Linked DNA regions of Lytechinus pictus. The protein of the gene in region 2 purifies or fractionates together with the protein of the main gene of each other region. This does not show direct contact. Links are inferred from orthologs where the notes say so. Each region holds a gene or a part of one and is shown on either strand. Other genes may lie near its edges. The genes, in order: lysine-specific demethylase 5A-like and paired amphipathic helix protein Sin3a-like.

Region 1 (10,437 bases), about 17 Mb from region 2:
CATGGCAGCGATGTCTCCGTCCACACCAAAATCAATAGGTGGCTTTGCTTAACCATATAATGGACCTTCATGCCACATTTGAAGATGATCGGAGAAGAAATGCAGCTAGTAGAGTGCTCACAGGGACATCGAGCTGCTATTCCACAAAAACTCTTGTTACCATGGCAATGAAGTCTCCGCCCACACCAAAATCAATAGACAGCTTCGCTTTGCCATAATGGACCTTCATGCCACATTTCAAGATAATCGGAGAATAAATGCAGATGGTAGAGCGCTCACAAGGACATCTCTGCTATTCCACAAAAACTCATTACCATGGCAACTATGTCTCTGCCCACAGCAAAATCGATAGGCGGCTTCGCTATACGATACTTGACCTTCATGCCAAATTTGAAGATGATCGGAGAAGAAATGCAGCTGATAGAGCGCTCACAAGGAAATCTCTGTGGCGACGGGGGGGGGGGGGGGGGAGAGTCAGGAGAGCACAAAGCGCAAGTTGAAATTTTGAAATGCTGACCTGAAAAATTAATCATTTTTAGGAGTCTTGTCAGTTTTCATGGTTTTTTCTGCTTACAACCACTTTTAAATTTCAATTTTCATTATAGTATCTTCTACACTTACATGTATTTTACCTCAAAACCGGAATAAAGAATAAAGTTATATTCAAAAGGATATAAAATAAACGGGGCACTCCCCATACCCTTAGTTTGGGGGGGGGGGGTAAATGAATTTATTCTTGAAACAGTAAAATAGGGTTCTCTATTTATAATCCATATTGACAAATACTTTGTTTATTTCCTTGAAACTGTAGTAAAATTAAATTCACTGTCGAATCATATAAAAAAGAAGTAAACATTTTTTTTAATTCGTTTTGTCAATCTGAGACACTAGACCCAAAACAAAATATGTACAATTTAGAAAAGATGTACATGTACTGCCTATCAACATATTAACTGATTTTGCAGTATATTCTGCCTAGAACCAGCCAAATATTAAAGTCACCCCTATCTTTCTTACGCCCTCACATGTTTTCCCACTTCTCCTCTCTCTCTCTCTCTCTCTTCACATTCCTCTTTCTCGCCTGTTTAAAAAATATCAGCCCCCCCCCCCAAATAAAAAAAAGGGGGAGAGAGAGAAAGAAGTTCCACCACCGAGAATAAAATTAGAAAAGGAGTAAATGTGATATTATTTTCCAAAACATATTGTCACAATCTATCACAAAATTAACTTTTCTTTTAATATAGACAGAGGGTGCAAAATTTTGCTCGCTCGCTTCAATCCCCTTTCAACCTTTTTGGCAGAAATTTTGCTCTATATGCCATGCTTGGCCCCTCATAAAATAAAAAATAGAAATATTCGGAAAATGATATCATATTTTACCTTTCTCTCTTTTCTTTCCTTTTTTTTTAGTCGTCATTTTTTTGTTTGGGGGGGGGCTTGAGGAAGTGCCTCAAGCCCCTCCCCCCATCTGTGGGCCTATACTAATAGTCTATAAATAGTATATTGTTGTTATTATTTGATGAATAATTTTCAGAGAAACGACTGGTTCAGAAAACTATTAAACACAGCCTTTCGTGAAAAGCTCGACCCGGTTGTTGCGAAAAGGTGCGTTTATTTTACTCCCCTCCCTCAACCCACCCTTTCGAGAAAAGCTCCCCTGGTTTTCTTGAAAGGGTGCAGCCATCCCCGCTCCGCAAACGCAGATGATCGTAACAAGCCTGCATTGCATAAAGCGATTTATACATTTTTGTAAATCCAGCCAAGGCTGCATTTTGTGGCCATCACATGAAATGTCTGAAATTCAATATTTTTTCACCGTTTTAAGTAGGATTTTTTAATGATTATCTGTTCATGTATTGCAATAAAGTTTGTGGTCGTTGCATGTCTCCTTGTATTCGAATTGCGCAGATACACGTACATGGTACATGTAATCATGTATGCTGCAACGGCCGGAAATGGCTCGCCGCATGTACTCGGAGATTGATGACTGGTACTGTACATGTATGCGCAGACTTGGGGGACCTTACCATAGGCATAAGTAAGTACTGTAAAAAGAATTTACCAAATGGTGCCAATGTCCGCATAACCATTAATTTCAAGAATTTTGATTAAACCTGCATGTTAATCATACCATACACGTATTGTAAGAAAAGGCTATGGACAGAAAAGTCCATATCTGCTGTGGTTTCTTTGGAAAAAAAAAGAGATTTTCTTCATGTCACAAGATAATAAACACAATGGCAACATGTCAGGTCTGAAGTCATGATCACTGCATGTCTAATGATCCATGTCCATGTGAAAAGATTGTGTAAGCCTACATGTTTCTCGAAAGCCTTTTCAGTAAACTTTTTAACCAGATCAGCAGACCCCTAGATTTGGCAATTATGTTTCACTTGATTTCTTACAGTATTTCAGATATTCCTCAAACTGTGTCTACAGTTTGATGAGGAATGAATAGGTTTCTTTATGCTCAAGATGAATATGACAATATTTAAATTTGAAAGTACATGTAGTTTCTTGTTAGATTCATGACATACCGTAAGGGCACTAGTATTCAACCCGTTTGGAGAGTTTCCTCAAATATATAGAAATATAGAATTTACCTGAATTTCAGACCCGTCTTATTTCCAAGAGCAAATGCTGGTTATTCTTTTTCTGTTATTTTTTTCTTCAACCAGTTGACTGTGTGCGCGGGCGATCGAATTATACGGCGAGGGATTTTGGTACTAGTATTCAACCCGTCGGCACTAGTTTTCAACCTAGCGATGAAAGATGGCCCTGTCTCTCAATCTGCCCTTGTCCCATCCGACTATGGACTAGACCATTTGAGATGAGACCAAACAGGGAATTAATCAAAGCCAGAGACTTACATAGATCTAGATCTAATTTAGCAATCTAAACCCTTTTGAGATTTGCTATCAATCCTCACTAGGTTGAATACTAGTACCATTCAGTGCAAAAGGCCATCGCCGCATAATTCGATCCTCCGCGCCTACAGTCGACAGATTGACAAAGAAAATATCGACAACAGATTATCCTGGAAATAACAAAGGTATGAAATTAAGATAAATTCCCTATTTCTAAATATTTTGGGGAATATGTCAAAATCTTTGAATTATGCCGGGTTGAATACTAGTACCCATACGGTACATCTGTGATAACTAGTGTGAAATTTTCAATATGAATTTTCTACTACAGTGTACATGCATATGTATGTAGATCTCAACTCAAGGCCTAGCTTGAGTCTAGACCCTTATTATGAAATTATTCTTGAAATCCCCATCTACATCTAGACCTATGTAATATTTTTTCTGTTCGTCCAGATTCAAAACCTATCTGGACATAAAAAAGGTAACAACGGGGTTTAAATGTGCACAAAAATCCCATTCCCATGTCACTCATGACACAGCTGTGCTGTGCCAGTGAGCAGCAGGGTGGCCATTTTGTCAAAGCAAATTGTTCACAATTTGTCAATATTTGGATTGTTGAAAATAAAATGCAAAAGGGATTTCTGAAGAATTTTGTACAAGAAAATGCAGGTAATTGGAATTCTGGTCAATTTTGCTTGAAAATACTGTTTGTGTATCAGAATATTTCAATTTATGTGAAACAGAATATGGTCATTTGGCATTCTCAACTTGCAGTTCACCAGATTATTCAACCCACTCCAGCAAAATGTCTGAATTAACAGTTTTCTGACTGCTTCATGGGGATGAAAATGTCAGATAAAATTGAGATGGGCAGTCCAAAAAATGATATTGAAATTGTCAGCACACCATTTGCCTATCAACTGATGGTAAAAACTTCCTGATTTCTTCAATATATACGCTACGAAAACGAATTATTTGAAGGAAGTTTTTTCTGAATTAGCATCGTTGCATCACATTCGTCGAGTTCGAACAAAAGCCGAGGGAGCGTTTGCACGCAGTGACATTAGCGCAACCTCTACGCTGCATAGGCAGACACACGATCAACTATGGGAGCAAAGTCAAAAGCGAGATAAACAACTCCTTCATTTTAAGTGAAAGTACAAAATCTAATATATTTATGTGGGAATTGGGGACAAGATTACCGTAGAAAGGAATATTACCTAACATTTGAGAGCAAACATTCAATGAATGACAAGAGAAAAATATGTTAAAACTGAATTGTATTAAAACACATTTCGGTTGTCTTACCGGAGGAGGTCTAATTTTACAAATGCCAGTTTTCTCTGCAATGGGCCGTATCTTGGCAATGTAAGCGAGGGGGTCCGAGAAATCTTCCTCTGATGGTTCAAAAACGGGAGCTTCCGGTGGTGGAACGAAAGCCTGACCGTCATCCATGATTATGATTCCAATAAAATCCTTTATTATTTAGTCACACCACAGATTACTCCTTAAAGAGATGTGTTTTCAGTCACATATTTGTGATAAAAATGTTCCTCTCCGAAGTCGAAAACATTACCGTACGTAGATATCGTAATCGCACGATAAGCTATCGATATGCGAGCTGCACGTCACCATTGCGCATGTGTACAGCAGCGTATGGATGGAGTCGGACGGAGTTCAATGCCCCTTTACTTTCAAGTTAAAATTAAAATGTCTAATAATCTAAAAGCAGTTTGCATGGTTTAATAAAAGGTTTTGTAAACTGATCTATTCTTCTAAAAGATGACAACCTGACTAGACCCGTGATCTTTTCCTTTCATTAGAGGGGGACGCATATGCGGATCCAGGGGGGCCCGAGGGGCCCGCCCCCCCCGCCCCCTATTGACGGAGCAAAAAAAAAAGGAAAGAAATAAACAAACAACAAAAAAAGGAGGGAAAAGAGAGGAGAAAAAAGGAATGGAGGAAGACGAGTGAATAAAATAAGATGAGGGGAAGACTTGGAAAATGAAAAGAATCTTATGATGTCACTATAAAAATAAAATTTGCTCGTGCTTCGCGCTCGCATTGCCTGTTATGTGATTTTGTTCAATAAAGGTTATCTTGTTCAATATGGAGTTTAAATATCAAGTTTGGAAGTCAATATACAAAACATATTTCATCTCTAAAAATCGAACTTTCATTATTTTGTGAGATTTACTAAATGATTTTTAAAAATTGCTTTGTAAAAATGTCAGTTTTATGGTCTGAATATTAACATTTTCTGCTCGCGCTGCGCGCTAGCAAATTTTGATTTATCAGGTACTTATTATTTTCGTGTATTCCATTAAGTTGTCAAAATATCCCTTTTCAGGTTTGATTGTCACAACGTATCAGCTAGCGCTGCATGCTCGCATTTTGATGGTCGAGTTATGTATGTCTCAATATTGATTACATAACAAACTTCTTAAAATTCCCTTTTCATGACAGTGTTTAAAAAACTTAGGCTCGCAATTTGCGTTCGCGTTAATGGTTAAAGACATATTAACTGATGCAACCTATTTATAATTACAAAAGTGCTTGAAATATCCAGTTTCAGGCCATAATATCATCAGATTTCGCGCCCTCATTAGGCATTAATGAATAAGATATCAATTTAATAATTGAAATGTCCCTTTTGTTTCATCTCGCGCTTAGCAAGAAGAATAGGAAGACAGTCATCATTTTCATAATTATGATGACATGTCCTAAGGATGTCCTATCCGGTGTCCTATGTCCTATGTCAAAACTCAAAGTAATTATAATGAAAAATATCAGCTCTTTATCAAGTGCGATCGATATCCGCCTCACAATTTTCCTACAAAGTGCTTGAAATAGAGAGCTGAAATTGACTCTTTTTTCAGATCGGAATATCAAATAGTTTAAGCTCGCGCTTCTCGCGCTCGCTTTTATTTTCATGATAAAATATGTATATAGAATGCCTAGATTCTATGTCAAAATATGAAACACGCGCGCACATGTTTATTCAGATACTCAACTTGTTCTCTATTTAAATCATTATCCAGTTTCAGATCACAATATCAAAAAAATTCTGCTCGTGCTTTGTGTTCGCATTATTAATGTAGGGAGATCCCCTATGACTCATTCTTTTCATGATTTACAAAACATGAATAGCGTGTCCCGTTTTGGGGTCTAAATCTCGATTTTTTTTCCGCTCGCGCTTCGCGCTCGCATCAATGTTTAGTTATATAGCTATCCTGTTCACGATTACACAAATTGATTAAAATTTTCCATTCTAATGCAGAAATGTGAAAATTTTCAGCTCGCGCTTTGCGCTCGCATTATTTGATTGTTGAAATATGTAAACGTCTTCATGGCTAAGTGCATGCAAGTAGTCCTTAATAGGTACTTTTTCGATCAGTTCAAAACGCGTATAAAAATGTTCTGCTCACGCTTTGCGCTAGCATTATTAGTGTAAGGAAGATCCCCAATTACTCATCCTTTTCATGATTTACAAAACATGAATAGAGTGTCTCGTTCAGTGGGTCTAAATCTCGAAAATTTTCCGCTCGCATCAATGTTTAGTTATATACCTATTCTGTTTAAGTTACAAAAAGTGCTCAGAATTTCCATTCTTTAGGTAAAAATGTCAAAAATTTTCAGCTCGCGCTCGCATTATTTGATTTCTAAAATATAACGTCTTCATGGCTAACTGCATACAGTCTTTAACAAGTACTTTTTCCATCAGTTCATTTCTGCTCGCGCTTCGCGTTCGTAGTAATTATTTAGTTGCATACACATCTTTTTCAGGATAACAAAAATTGCCCAGAATGTTCATATTTTAGGAAAAAAATGCATAAGATTTCCAAAAAATTTAGCTCGCGCTTCGCGCTCGCATTATATAAATAAGGATTATGATATTATATATTTATGTTGATTTATAAGAATAAAGCTAAGAAGTGACTATTAGGATTACCCCTTCAAAGAAACCAAAAATCATCTTCGAGCGGCCGATCGGGGGAAATATGGCTGAAAAAAATTCAGCCCCCCCCCCCTATTGGCGAAGGCTGGATCCGCCCCTGGGGAGGGGGAGGGAACCACCTCCTATGATGTCAAGCCCGAGGGACTGCGTCAAGAATTCAAAACAAGAATTAAAAGGGAGAAAGGGAAAAGTATCAAGAAAATTATGAAAATGAGGGGCCTGGGCCGCGTAACTTTATTACACAGATAATTATGATCCAGAATCTGTCCTATAAATACCTGAGATATTTCAGGGGCGGATATCCAGCTTTCGCCATGATGGGGGGGGGGGGGCCGAAAAAATTCAATGAAAACTGGAGAAAGCAATTTGGTAATTATGAATCCCGGTTATGAATAGGATATGCATGGGTTCATATATTATCAACAATTTATTAATGCGAGTGCAAATCGCTAGTCAAAATTTTTGATAAAACGTCAGGAAAATGGGATCATAAAGTTTGTTATATAATATCAATAGAGGTATACATTACTCACCAATCAAAATGCGAGCGCGCAGTGCTAGCTATATTGGTTTTGACAATCAAACCGGAAAGGGATATAATTTAGATCACTTTATGGAACACACTAAGAGAATAGGTATTTTGCAAATCAAATAATGCGAGCGCGCAGCGCGAGCTGAAAATGTTGATACTCAGACAATAAAACGGACATTTTACAACTGAACACTTTTTGAAAATCAATTTGTAAATCAAACAAAATAATGAAAGCTCGACGTCCGAACTAAAATATATTTTGTATATTGACTTCGATACTTGATATTTAAAGCTCCATATCAGCCTATTGAGCAAGATATGATTATGTATTACATGTTCAGTGAGTCACCGAACATGCAATGCGAGCGCGAGCGAATTTTTTTTTAATGACCGTATGAAAGATTTTTTTTCCAAGTCTTCCCCTCACCTTATTTTATTCACTCGTCTTCCGCCTCTTTTTTCCTCTTCTTTTGTTTGTTCTCCCCTCTTTCCATTCTTTTCTTTCTTTCCCCTTTTTCTTTCGTTTTTGCTCCGCAAATGGGGGGGGGGGGGGGTTCCTCACCCCCCTGGATCGGCCTAAAGGCGTCTATGATATTGACGAAGGGACCTAGACCCTGTTCATCTTGAATGACACTTTTTATTTAAGCTTTAAGGCAATTATAATCATACTACTGAAAATACCCCTGTTCACTCGGAGAGGATGAGTTGACCAGGGCTCTGGGAGCGATTTTTAGAGAGGGAGTGCTGATGTGAATTTGACAACCAAAAAAAAAAGAAGAAGTTTTTACTTAAAATTGAGGTGCTTTCGGTCCCGAGAAATATTTAACAAGCAATAAAAAAAAACAGGGGGGTTCAATCCAGAATAAAAGTGGTTTTGGTCCACAGAAAAAAAAGGTTTTCCTAATAAATCTCGTTCACTTTTCATTACATTTTTGTCATTTATATGGTAACACACGGCGCAGCACTCCCAAGGAAAATTTTAGGGGGGGGGGGGGTGGTGCTTCACCCCCATAGCACCCCTGCTTCCCAGGACCATAATAATAATAGTAATAAAAATAATTATTATTTATGTTCCATTTGTATAGCGCAGCTACTATAATTGCTTGATACTTGTCGGGATACTTGGTATCATCATTACCCCGGCTGTAGCTGAGCCGCGCGCGCCGTATAGGCGCTAAAGCTTTCAAGGTATAGATCCTACCGGGTACCCATTCACCTAACCTGGGTCGAGTGCAGCACCATAGGCGGATCCAGGGGGGCCCGAGGGGCCCGCCCCCCCCCCCTATTGGCGGAGAAAAAAAAAGAAAAAAAAAGAAGGGAAAAGAGAGGAGAAAAAAAGAAGAAGAAACATAAGAGGAGGAAGACGAGTGAATAAAATAAGATGGGGGAAGACTTGGAAAATAATTTTAAAAATCTTTCATGTCGGGATATAAAATTTTCGCTCGCGCTTCGCGCTCGCATAACCCTTTAGGTGATTTACATATCTTGCTCAATATGGAGCTTAAAATATCAAATTTTGAAGTCCAAATACAAAACGTATTTCAGCTCGGAAATTTAACTTTCATTATTTTGTTTGCTTTACAAATTGATTTTTAAAAAGTGCTCTGTAAAAATGTATGTTTTATGGTCTGAATATTAACATTTTCTGCTTGCGCTGCGCGCACGCAAAATTTGATTTGTCAGGTACCTATTATTTTCCTGTATTCCATTAAGTTATCAAAATATCCCTATTCAGGTCAGATTGTCAAAACGTATCAGCTATAGCCCTGCACGCTCGCATTTTGATTGGTGAGTTATGTATATCTCAATATTGATTCTAAAACAAACTACTTAAAATCTCCATTTGATTACAGTTTATCAAAAATTATGGCACGCGATTACCGCTCGCATTGATTGTTGAAAGATATTATCTCATGCATCTTATTCATAATTACAAAAGTGTTTTAAAATAATGTCCAGTTTTCAGGCCATAATATTAACAGATTTCGCGCTCTCATGCTTAGGAAGAGAGATAGGAAGATTGTCATCATTTTCATATGATGACATAATGTCCTCATAGAATGTCCCGGTCAAATCTCTAAGTAATAATAATATCAGCTCTTTTTAAACTGTGATCCATATCCACCTCACAATTTTCCCACAAAGTGCTTGAAATACAGAGCTTAAATTGTCCCTTTTTCAGATCGGAATATCATATATTTTTAGCTCGCGCTTTGCGCTCGCTTTATTGGTTTTCATAATAAGAGAGGTATTTAGAAATACCCAAATTCTAGTTCGAAATCTGAAACACGCGTTTAGATTGTTCTCTATTTAAATCAATATCCAGTTCCAGATCACAACATCAAAAATTGTCTGCTCGCGCTTTGCGCTCGCATTATTAATGTAGGAAACTTTCCAATTACTCATCCTTTTCATGATTTACAAAACATGAATAGAGTGTCCGAAATGTTTCCGCTCGCGCTTCGCGCTCGCATCAATTGTTTAGTTATATACTTATCCTTTTCACTATTACAAAAAGTGCTTAGAATTACCATTCTTCAGGTAGAAATGTCAAAATTTTCAGCTCGCGCTTCGCGCTCGCATTATTTGATAATTCATATATGTAACGTCTTAATGGCTAACAAGCAGCCGTTAACAGATCCTTTTTTTATTAGATCAAAACGTATATTAAAAAGAATATATTAAAGAGTATATTATGTATTCGAATATTTTAATATTAGGATGTACTATACAAGCTCTGCTTTTTAACAGCCTCCTCCATTCCAAACCTGCTTATATATCCACTCTTATCCAACACGAAGCTCCACAAACTTTCATTTAACAAATCCAAAACTAATAATAACACACAAATCAATTAGACATTACGGTGCGGATTTGTGGAATAATTTATCACATGACATTAAGCTATGCACATCACTTTATTCATTCAAAGCTGTTCTGAAAAAAATACACTGTCAAGCTATAATTTCTAAAATCTTTCTGTGTACCCAAACAACTGATAATCCCATCCCCCCTTGCACATGCACACTCGCACACCTGCACTTGCACTTTCACTTTTATCAACGTTATTAATCTTC
Region 2 (10,639 bases):
TCCATAAACTTTCAAAGTTATGATGGCAATTTAGCAAATACCCCCATTATTGCCAGAGTTCATTGACCTTAAATGACCTTGGTCATGTGACCTGAAATTCATACAGAATGTTCAGTCATACTTGAGAACTCTTTTGTCTAACGACTTTAAGTTTCATGAACTAGATCCATATACTTTCAAATTTATGATGGCAATTCAACAAATACTCCTACCGTTCATTGACCTTAAATGACATTTAACTTTGGTCATGTGACCTAAAACTAACGCAAGATGCTAAGCAGGCGAGAAAAAACGGGATGACTCAGGCATACTACAATGTACAGATAGCTCAGAATAAGGGTATTAAAATCCCATTCTGATGGGGATAAATTGTAGTTGGCTGCCTTCTTTTATAAATAAAAAAATATGATTTGTGGTCTTGCAGTCATGTAATTTGAGAGAAACCTTTGAACTCGTCCAAGTTTGATTACACTTTTTGAAGAAGCGAAAATTGAAATCAACATTGAATGGTAAGGCAAAAAATTCAATGCTGCACCCAAGTGACCCTTTTCAAACCTGCAGACTGCAGACATTTTCTACTCAAATTTGACCCCCCCCCCCGAAAAAAAAAATCATTGTTTTGCTTCTTTTTTTTAATGGCGAATAAAATTGCTCCAAGCAGCTACTTGCGGCCACCCGAAATGTTGTAAAACTGGTAGAGTAATGTTTGGAATGGGCAAGATAGGCTACTAATTATAAGTTTTGACTTGGGCCTACACATGTCCATGTAGCTTAATGGTCAATAAAAATAACAAGAATGAAGAATCTTTTAAGGAAAACATTTAGATCACTAATTCTATGTAGATCCTTCTAATGGCAAATATGACCAAGATCTGCGATGTCATAACTTCCCAATTACCTAATGTACATGGAAGTACAATTTCACGTCAATTTTCTCTTATATCAGGTCTCTCGCAAAATTAGGCGTTTTTATTTTTTTAAGTGGCATGTACATGTACATGTGTAGGTTTGAAAACATATCACAGAAGAATTGTTTAGTCAGAACTTAAAGGTCAAGTCCACTGAATATTTCAATTTTTACATATTTCATTTGGCAATAAGAACCCTCTTGTTTGAACTACAAAATGTGAAAACAATGGTAATTACACATTCAGGGAGGAATAAATCATTATTTTGCATGGCAATGAGGAGAAAATAAGCATATTTACATTTCATTTCAAGAAATACCAAAGAAATACTAGTAGTGAGTGGATGACGTCATCGGTCTCCTTATTCGCATACCGATCAAGATTTGAATATGACTGTTTTGTGAAATTAAGCAAAACTTTAACCGTCATAACTTTATTTTACATCCGATTTGATAAAATTTTCGGTATTATGCTCGTTTGATTTTTCTCTTTTTATTCAAACCAATATTTTGTTGTGGTGGACTTGTCCTTTATATCTTAAGAGATGATTTGGTGTATATTTGCAATGTCCAAAAGCCTGAACATGTTTGAAATCACAGTTCTTGCTCACCTAGCTAATTGATCATGGGAAGATTGCAGTATTTCCACAACATTGGTGAAAATGACATTCAAATGCTCATAAGTCTGAACATTCTTCTTGTCCAATTTTACACAAACTTTTGTTGAGCTTATTCTTTGATTTTTATGCTTTCACACAAGCTAATTTTCCTTTAAATTGGAAATCTAAACCAATAAAAAGCTGGTTTGAATAAGACCAAATGAATAATACTGAAAATTCCATCAAAACTGAATGGAAAATATGAAAGTTATGGCATTTTAAAATTTCACTTATTTTCAATAAACTGGTTCTGCAGTGTCTGCACATCAAAGTGACATACACATTATTGTCAATTTGGCACACTTACAATTTCGTTTGTATTTCATTGTTTTAGACTATAACAATATTTCATTGATTTGAACAGAAACTCTTCATTCAATACAATCTAAATTCCTCCTGGTTAGGAAGTAATAATTCTGTTTCACATTAAACTGAGACAATATACATACATGTATGGCATATTTCATATAATAAAATAGAAAAGAAATGAGAGTGGGTGACATTATTGGTTCCTAGTTCCCACATTTGCATATTGACCAGATGACAGATGTGCATTGTAATTTTGTACTGGGAAATTAAGTGAAACTTAATAATGTCATAACTTTCCTATTTTACATTTGTTTTGAGTGAAATTTATTATGCTTATTTGAGTTTTATTCTAAAAAATTATTTTTTTAAATAATAAATGGAAGTAACTTTATTTTCCTTTATTCTAAAATAAAATAATAAATTGTACTTGTAAGCAATTACATGCAAATGTACAGTGAAGTCATTGCCGCAAATGCACCATTATGTAGCACCACTGTAGCTCTGTAAGACTCATGAGAGATCATTGAAACTTGAAAGACCAGGAAAAGTCCATGGAAACTCGAAAGAATTCTGAAAGATCACTTGTTGCATAAAAGATCTCTGAAAGACAATTGAAAGATGTCTATATGACTAGTAAGACAAGAAGTATCAATCGGTCTTTCAGAGTTCTTTGAGTGGTCTTTTTGAGCCATTCCACAGAGATGACAAATTCAGTGATCTTGGAGATTGCTCTAAGACCTTGCCATTTTTTTGTCTTTCAAAGGTATTGTTTTAAAAATCTCCCCTCTGTGGAATGGGGGCTTAATTACTCTTAACAAGTGGAGCACCTCTGGCAGTCTCACCTGCATTAAGCGATTCAATATAGCAGCAGTGCTGACTTGAAAACTACTATAAAATGATTATTCACAAAAAGCACCATTCATATGATACAATACTACGTTCATTGACCCTAAATGATATTTGACATTGATCATGTGACCTAAGACTTGTCAGTGATACTTAAGACTTGTCAGTGATTACACCTATGTCCACATTTCACAAACTATCCATAAACTCTGTAAGTTATGACAGCAATTTGATAATTACCTCCAACGTGGCCAAAGTTCATTGACCTTAAAAGACCTTTGACTTTGGTCATGTGACCTGAAACTCGCACAAGATGTTCAGTGATACTTGATTACTCTTATGTCCAAGTTTTATGAACTAGATCCATACACTTTCAGAGTTACATGTATGATGGTAATTCAACTCCCACAAGATGTTCAGTGAAACTTGATTACACTTAAGTCCAAGTTATATCAATCAGATCCATAAACTTTCAAAGTTATGATGGTACATGTAATTCAACAAATACCCCCAACTTGGTCAAAGTTCATTGACCCTCAATGACCTATGACCTTTGACCTTGGTCATGTGACTTGAAACACAGGCTGGATGTTCAGTAATACTTGATTACCCTTTTGGCCAAGTTTCATGAACTAGGTCCATATACTTTTTTTTAAGTTATGCTGTCATTTCAAAAACTTAACCTTTGGTTAAGATTTGATGTTGACGCCGCTGCCATTGGAAAAGCGGCGCCTTTAGTTTCACTCTGCTATGCAGGTGAGACAAAAATAGCTTGACTGATTTAATCATTACAGATAGGCCTGCTAGTAAATGAATCTAAAATTTATATGATGAACATTGTCACTAATTAATCCTCAAAGGACAAGTCCACCCCAACAAAAAGTTGATTTGAATAAAAAGAGAAAAAATCCAACAAGCATAACACTGAAAATTTCATCAAAATCGGATGTAAAATAAGAAAGTTATAACATTTTAAAATTTCGCTTAATTTCACAAAACAGTAATATGCACATCCTGGCTGGTATGCAAATGAGGAGACTATGACGTCATCCACTCACTATTTCTTTTGTATTTTATTATATGAAATAGTCTAATTTACTCCTCATTGTCAAGTGATACAACTATTAATTCCTCCCTGTACATGTGGCATTAGCATTGTTTAATACTACATGTATGTTTCAGTCAAGTTCGTCCTTATTGTCAAATCTATAAAAAATGAAATATTGTATAATTCAAACAATAAAAAACAAAAGAAATAGTGAGTGATGGACATCATCGACTGACTCATTTACTGTAGTTGTGCATATCACTGTTTTGTGAAAAATAAGCGAAACTTTAAAATGTCATAACTTTCTTATTTTACATCCGATTTTGATGAAATTTTCAGCACTATGCTAGTTTGATTTTTCTAGAGCTATTTATTCAAGTCAGCATTTTCCTGGGGTGGACTTGACCTTTAAATGTATGTGTTAAATTTGATTGTGTTCAGTGTTGCATTCAAAAGATTTACAATATGTAAATACTGCATGTAGAAAAAAAATAATGGTGCAAACTCTAAACAAAAAAGAAAAAGAAATAAAGAAAGTGGCATCATCAACTTTGTTGAAAATTACCCACAAAAATTAAAAACATTCTGCCACACTCAACTCGGGCAACACAGCCAAATTTGGAAAATTCAAATTCCAGTTTGCTTCAAAAATCATGATTAATTTCTTTATGTAAGTTTGATCCTCCACCTACAGCAACACATCACAAAAAATACCTTGAGTTGTGACAGTTTATGGATGGGGCCCGTTGCAGAAAGAGTTGCGTTTAAACGCAAGCCAAAAAAAATCGCAAGTACCAAATGCGCGCTGTTCATTGGTTGAAAATCAAGTTGCGCGTGATTTTTAGAGTTGCGATTGATTGCAACTCTAAAAATCATGCACAACTTGATTTTCAACCAATGACATGAAACAATTATAATTTGCACCATTACACTCCAACATGCCTGTTCATGATGCAAACATTTCACAATTTCTGACTCAAGAATATTCACTTATAAGCTACATCCTTGATCCTCCAATTAGCAAAACCAGTTTAAGAATAAATAATTCCTGTGCTTACAATTTACATGTCATTTATTTCATATCCATACCATTCATTTGTTTTGTTACATGACATGTACATGTAAACTTTATGAGATTACAGTTACTCCTGAATGAGACTGAGGAATTCGGACATGACAATTGACAAATACAGGTAATCAGAAATAGCATAAACATAGCCTTTTTGGTGTGTTTACTTTAAGAGGGAATTCATAAAATGTCCATGGATAAACATGTATAATTCAAATGACATTGTCAATGGCATTGGCATGCATGACAATATAATATTTCATGCTTTGGAACTGAAAAATTCAACATAGGGTGTGCTTTCAGCCATGTTCCACCTCAAACAAAGCTAATAATAGTCCACCTCTGCTAGGTCAATACATTGTGTGCATACTACGAGGGACTACAACACATGGAAATCTGCAATGAATGCACAGACCCAATGACTCGCCGAAGCAAGTTGTTGCTGTGTCAAAAAATGGCTGACTGAAACTCTCCTTGGATGATCAGCATGAACCATTAAAAATAGGAAGACTGGCGATTTAAACCTAGCACGCAAAGCCAAAGCCGTCTAATCATCAAGAAAGAACATACAATTTTAATTTATATCTTAAAATATAAAAAAAAAGAACATGTAATTTTCTTTATCTTACATAAAAGGTGTCTTAACGAATAATAAAAGGGGGAAAAGAAAAAAAAGTTAAGACACATCCCACAACTACCACCCCAAAGACCCCTACACAAAAATGGTATCAGCCCATAAACAATATCTTTGAGATAACCAGGAAGCTGGCTGTTGTCAATCCACCGCACAAAAATCACAGAACTAAAGTGCTCACATAAACAAGAAATTAGACGATTCCATAGCAGACTTTGTGTGGTAAATTTGCAAAATGATCATGGTGATAAAAACAAATAGTAAATTAAATGATTTTGAATGCAAATATGGAATAAAACTGGCATATTCCCTTGGTTTTCTCTGAATAATCACATCGGTCGAAGTCAAAGGCAGACGCCACAATTCACCACGGCCTACACACAAGCACCGCATGATATGCACACAATAATGGGAACATAATTTAACGTGCAATGGCCAATCCGTTTTGGGGCGGACATTTGGAGCAGAATTATAATCTTCAGTATCATTCAATCTTCCAACGAATACCTACAAATCAAATATGAAAATGATGGAAAATAAACAAGGTCTATTACTTACAGAAATTGAAATGCTCAGATGAATTCCAACACACAAAATTTTACAATTTTCCAACACATACCATGTCAAACATCGCGCGAAGACAGTGCACAACCAACGCAGAACAAGTCGGACGTCGGGACATAATTCACGTCTTTTGTCACCAAAACTCGAAGAAAATGTATTCTCAGATTAACAAAATATATATAACTTACACTAAAGGTTCCGCAATACACAGTGATTAACATCCCCTATCCATCCACCTTTAAAATAACGTAAACATGAGGCTATCTGTGAAGAAACAACCATCAAAATTGCAGTCCCATACAACAACCTCACCAGCTGGGCAGTGCGAGACGCTTGACGATCAAAACATAGGGAGAGTTCGGGTCGAAATTTTCTATGGTCTCCGCTGTGAAAACCTTGCTAAAATATAAAAGATTATCATCCAACCTGCGATCAAAAGATTTGCCATACAATGCTAGAGAAAAGAACACTTCAACAAATAAACCTAGAGAGAATTACCAGTGAAATCAATCAGATGGTCCAGATTTCCTCGGATTTTACGTCCAAATCTACGGGTAAATCCACATCCTTATTTCGGGAAAGATACACTGTTATGCTTATTTGCATATAATACGTACGACCTATGGGCAGTAGTCTACGTCACAACGTTAATTCATTAAGTGACCAATGATGAGCTGCATACACGCGAACCCTGACAGGTGAAACGCGCGCCCTACGCCCACAATCCTTAACAAGCCAATGAAAATAGAATTTAGTTGATTGTAAGAAGTGTTTGAAGTTTGCGGCGCGAGGTTCTAAATTTTATCAATTTGTTGGAAGTTCTATGGAATTGGTGCTCGAAAAGTCTACTCCCACTTTACGGGAATGATTAGCCTAACGTATTCCTGAACGTAAACTGATCCTGGCAGAAATGCACAAGCTTGAACAATACATGGGTGTCTTTATTATTTATTCTGTGAATTATACAATTTTGAAAATTACCGAAATAACAGAAACTTCGATCGCATGTACCCGGTGTGTTGCATAGCAATTATTTACACTTAATTCAAATTTGGGTATATTAAAAGAAAGATGTTCATAACTCCAATCGTTTTGCTGTATATAGGCCTTCATGTATTTCTATCAATGCACACAGCTTCGAGTATTATTTCTTTCTCCTGATAATTTCTCTCTTCGCCATCAGAAGACGAAAAGATTGTTTATAGCCATGAAAGTCAGTATATCAAGAATGTGTGCCAATTACATGTATAAACCATAATTGTGAAATAAGTCATATAAATACAAAAAAAAATTATTGTGAAATAAGTGTAAAAAAAAAAGACTGATCATTATGGGAGGCTGTTTGTCATTGAAAAGTGGTATTAGGCCTAATCTACAATTGTCCAATATTTTCGGCGTGCCAAATTTTCTATTACATAATTTTGCATGGCAAAGGTGTGCAAAATAAATGAAAATTTTGTATTAGTATTTTTACTTTTTTTCATGCCAAGTTTAACAGCTCAGTATAGCTATTTTTCTTTTTCAAGTTTTCAAACTTATTGAGGGGCGAATCGATTTTCAGGGGGTGACAATCTTCTCCTGCCCCTCCAAGGCCTTTAGTCACTCTCTATTTTCTGCCTCAACTACACGTAAATTTGTATATTGTTTGTCTCCATAACCTTTTCTAAATTACATTTGTTAGCTTAATGTTGTTTCTGCGTATTGGAGAGGAATGTATAAATGATAAAATCTTGATTTTTAATCCGCTAGTTTGTGGAATATACACTCTTAAAACAAATCAGTCAAATTGACTGGACAAGTGGTCATAGCTGGGTGCAACTGATATGCTAGTCACATTTCTGACATATATTCTATACTCTATTCTAGTAAAATACGACAAGAAAATAGTCAAATAACGAGAATAACAGTGGCACCCAGCTGACCCTATTCACTATAGTCATTTTTTACTGATTTGTTTTTAGACTGTACGATACTTAGCCAAACTGATAATTTGGTGTAGCTGTAATTTCCTTTAACCAATTAGAACTCGATTTCATGATCTAGTAAATCAACAAGTACAGTTATTCCCTTAAAAAAATCATAAGATATATAGATAAAAACATACAAGGAGAAAAGTAAAATATAGTGGTAATTTTCCATCGGTTATATAGTTTTCAATTATGTTTGGAAACATTTATTTTGGTCAGAATCGTAACTGTTTGAAATTCGAAATGCAAGCATACAGAGACTTTTTGTTTTGTTAATTGTTATAACATTTGATTGTAACTCCAATTCAGACTTAGTGCATGTATGCATGTTCACATTTTCATTTTCGTTTTGGTAAATTTTGAAATGCACATGACTGTAGAATGTTTAGAATGTCACTTGAGCAAAACGTTGGCTTTTGACAGAATCTTTCATGGGGAGGGGGTGGGGTATGGGAAAGGGGATAAATCGTCTACAGCGCCTCCGTCTTGAATTTCGAAGTCCGCCGTGACACACCTCCTGAACCCCTGTTACATAATTTACACTGGCACCATATCGGATCATTTTCAAGCTACTTCTTTTGGTATATAACCTAGCCCCCAAAAATATTTGTCTGATTGTTTAGAAATTTATATCCCAGGTAGAAAAACTAGACTCCTCTAAAGACCCACTTAAGTTAACATATACGTTAATTCCATTGGGTCTTCAGAGGATCTGCATATATTAATTGCATATGTGCAACAGAACGAAAACGGACCGGAGATAGAACCTTCACTTTTGCATCCTCAATGGAATGGAACAATCTCCCTCTCACATTAAGACAAAGTCCCCAAAAGTTGAATCATTTAAGATGTTCATAAAAAACGTGTTTGTTCATTCATTCTGTATTTGTTTTTGCATGAATTAGGTAAACTTAAATTGTAAGCGCTTTGGGCCATTTGGGAAAAGCACGTTGGGTGTCATCATTATTATTATTACTATTATATTTTATCTCTCTGTGCATTGATATGAAAACGACATGAAGAATTTTTTTACGAGGCGTACAGTAGGCCAATCTTAATTCAGTATATAGAATATTAGAATTCCCCAAATGCTAAAGTAACACAATAAATGAAACCACAATGACAATTTTTAATGTAAATACCAGGGGTGGCGCCACCCCCATAAAAAAAGATGGGTGGGGGTGGGGATACGGATGAGTATCAAAATGAGCTCTGGGAGTGTAACTCTACATCAGACCCTGTAATTCAATTAAGGAAATGTAAAGCTGTAAAAATGGCAGTTAATCTCCTGCATATAGATGGCTAGTTAACTAAGAAAGGTTGTTACAAGATAATTTGAATTACTAGTATATCGGACTCATAAATCATAGATAGATCGTTGATATCGACGGGAAAGGCTCTCTCTTTTCCAAGTTAATGTAGCATGCCAATTTAACCTGTCATTTTTGCCTCCGTCAGTTCCTTAAGATTTGCCATATTCACCTCTGCCATTTCCATCTCTGCCTAACAACCACTTGATCTACTCTCAATTTGGACTAATTACTCTACAGCCCAACTAACTTACTCTCACTTAGTCAATCTATTAATAATTTACCCTTTGTCAAATCAAAATTTGGTTCATAAAATCAATATTTCATTTCATCATATGTGATGACACAAATGAAAAGGTAAGCAAGTTTCCACTTCTGAACAACAAAACCTTCACATTTTGAAAACTTACATCACAAGCTACACAAAAGCAGATACTAGAAACACTGTTTATGTGCATGTAAATCGAAAGAAAGTTTATTCCTTTTTGTAACAAGACACCAAGAGAACATGAATCCATCTTATAATTCGTTAACAATAAATACTTTATTATGACAATCATGAAAGAGTTAATGAATTCAGAACAATTAGCATCATATGATAAAATCTTGAAAAAAATCCCACTGGATAGAAAAGCAATAAAGTAAAAGAAAAGGTTTTAAGATTGGAGACATTATTATACAACATCTAAAGGCATGATATTGTACAATGGTACATGATCTCTTGAATTCAAAGAATTAATCAGTCTTTCAGGATCAAGAAAAAATTGCATAAAGTTTTTAAATAAGTGCATGTAAATTATGGCTTCTATTGCACAAAATAATAAGTTACATGTAACAGAATGTATGTAGAAAAAAAAGAACAATATCTGAACGGTATACAAAAACTGACAGTTCCAAAAGAAAATTTGATGCAAGATGATGATATAAGCATTACACATGTATGCTTTGATCCATGAATTTCATGAAAACATTACCATATTAAAAAAATTCAATGACAAATAAGCAACTCTTACAAATGAGCAACAGGGAATAATTTTCCTCGTATCGCATCGCAATTCGCTCCACATTTTTGAAAGACTGCTATGCATAAAGTCTTTTGAATAGCATATTTTTACATAGGACTGTACATTATAATAGTTGAGAGCTTTTCTCTTATGACCAAAAATGCTATTCAAATTTGTCCAGCAAAATTATTCCCTGAGCAATCATATCATTTAACCCCATTCTGATAAATCTCCTTAGATCCTCCCACCTAGTTTTCAAGCTCAATTGCATATACCACAGACTGTCACCTCTTGTTATTAGTGTTATATATGTATGCCATAC

The links.
Region 1: the proteins of paired amphipathic helix protein Sin3a-like (region 2) and lysine-specific demethylase 5A-like purify together in Drosophila melanogaster (affinity purification with western blotting; 3 studies listed by BioGRID, with this or other methods). This does not show direct contact. The link is inferred for Lytechinus pictus from reciprocal best matches to the Drosophila melanogaster genes Sin3A and Kdm5.

What each region holds. Positions count from the first base shown.
Region 1 is NC_087247.1:31,237,209-31,247,645, reverse strand, and holds the start of lysine-specific demethylase 5A-like, read right to left. Parts: upstream 4,487-10,437; 5' UTR 4,326-4,486; coding exon 4,179-4,325; intron 1-4,178. UniProt on the Drosophila melanogaster protein: Histone demethylase that specifically demethylates 'Lys-4' of histone H3, thereby playing a central role in histone code. Does not demethylate histone H3 'Lys-9', H3 'Lys-27', H3 'Lys-36', H3 'Lys-79' or H4 'Lys-20'.
Region 2 is NC_087247.1:13,908,888-13,919,526, reverse strand, and holds the start of paired amphipathic helix protein Sin3a-like, read right to left. Parts: upstream 6,635-10,639; 5' UTR 6,535-6,634; intron 6,310-6,534; exon of another isoform or gene 6,225-6,309; intron 6,120-6,224; exon of another isoform or gene 6,031-6,119; intron 1-6,030.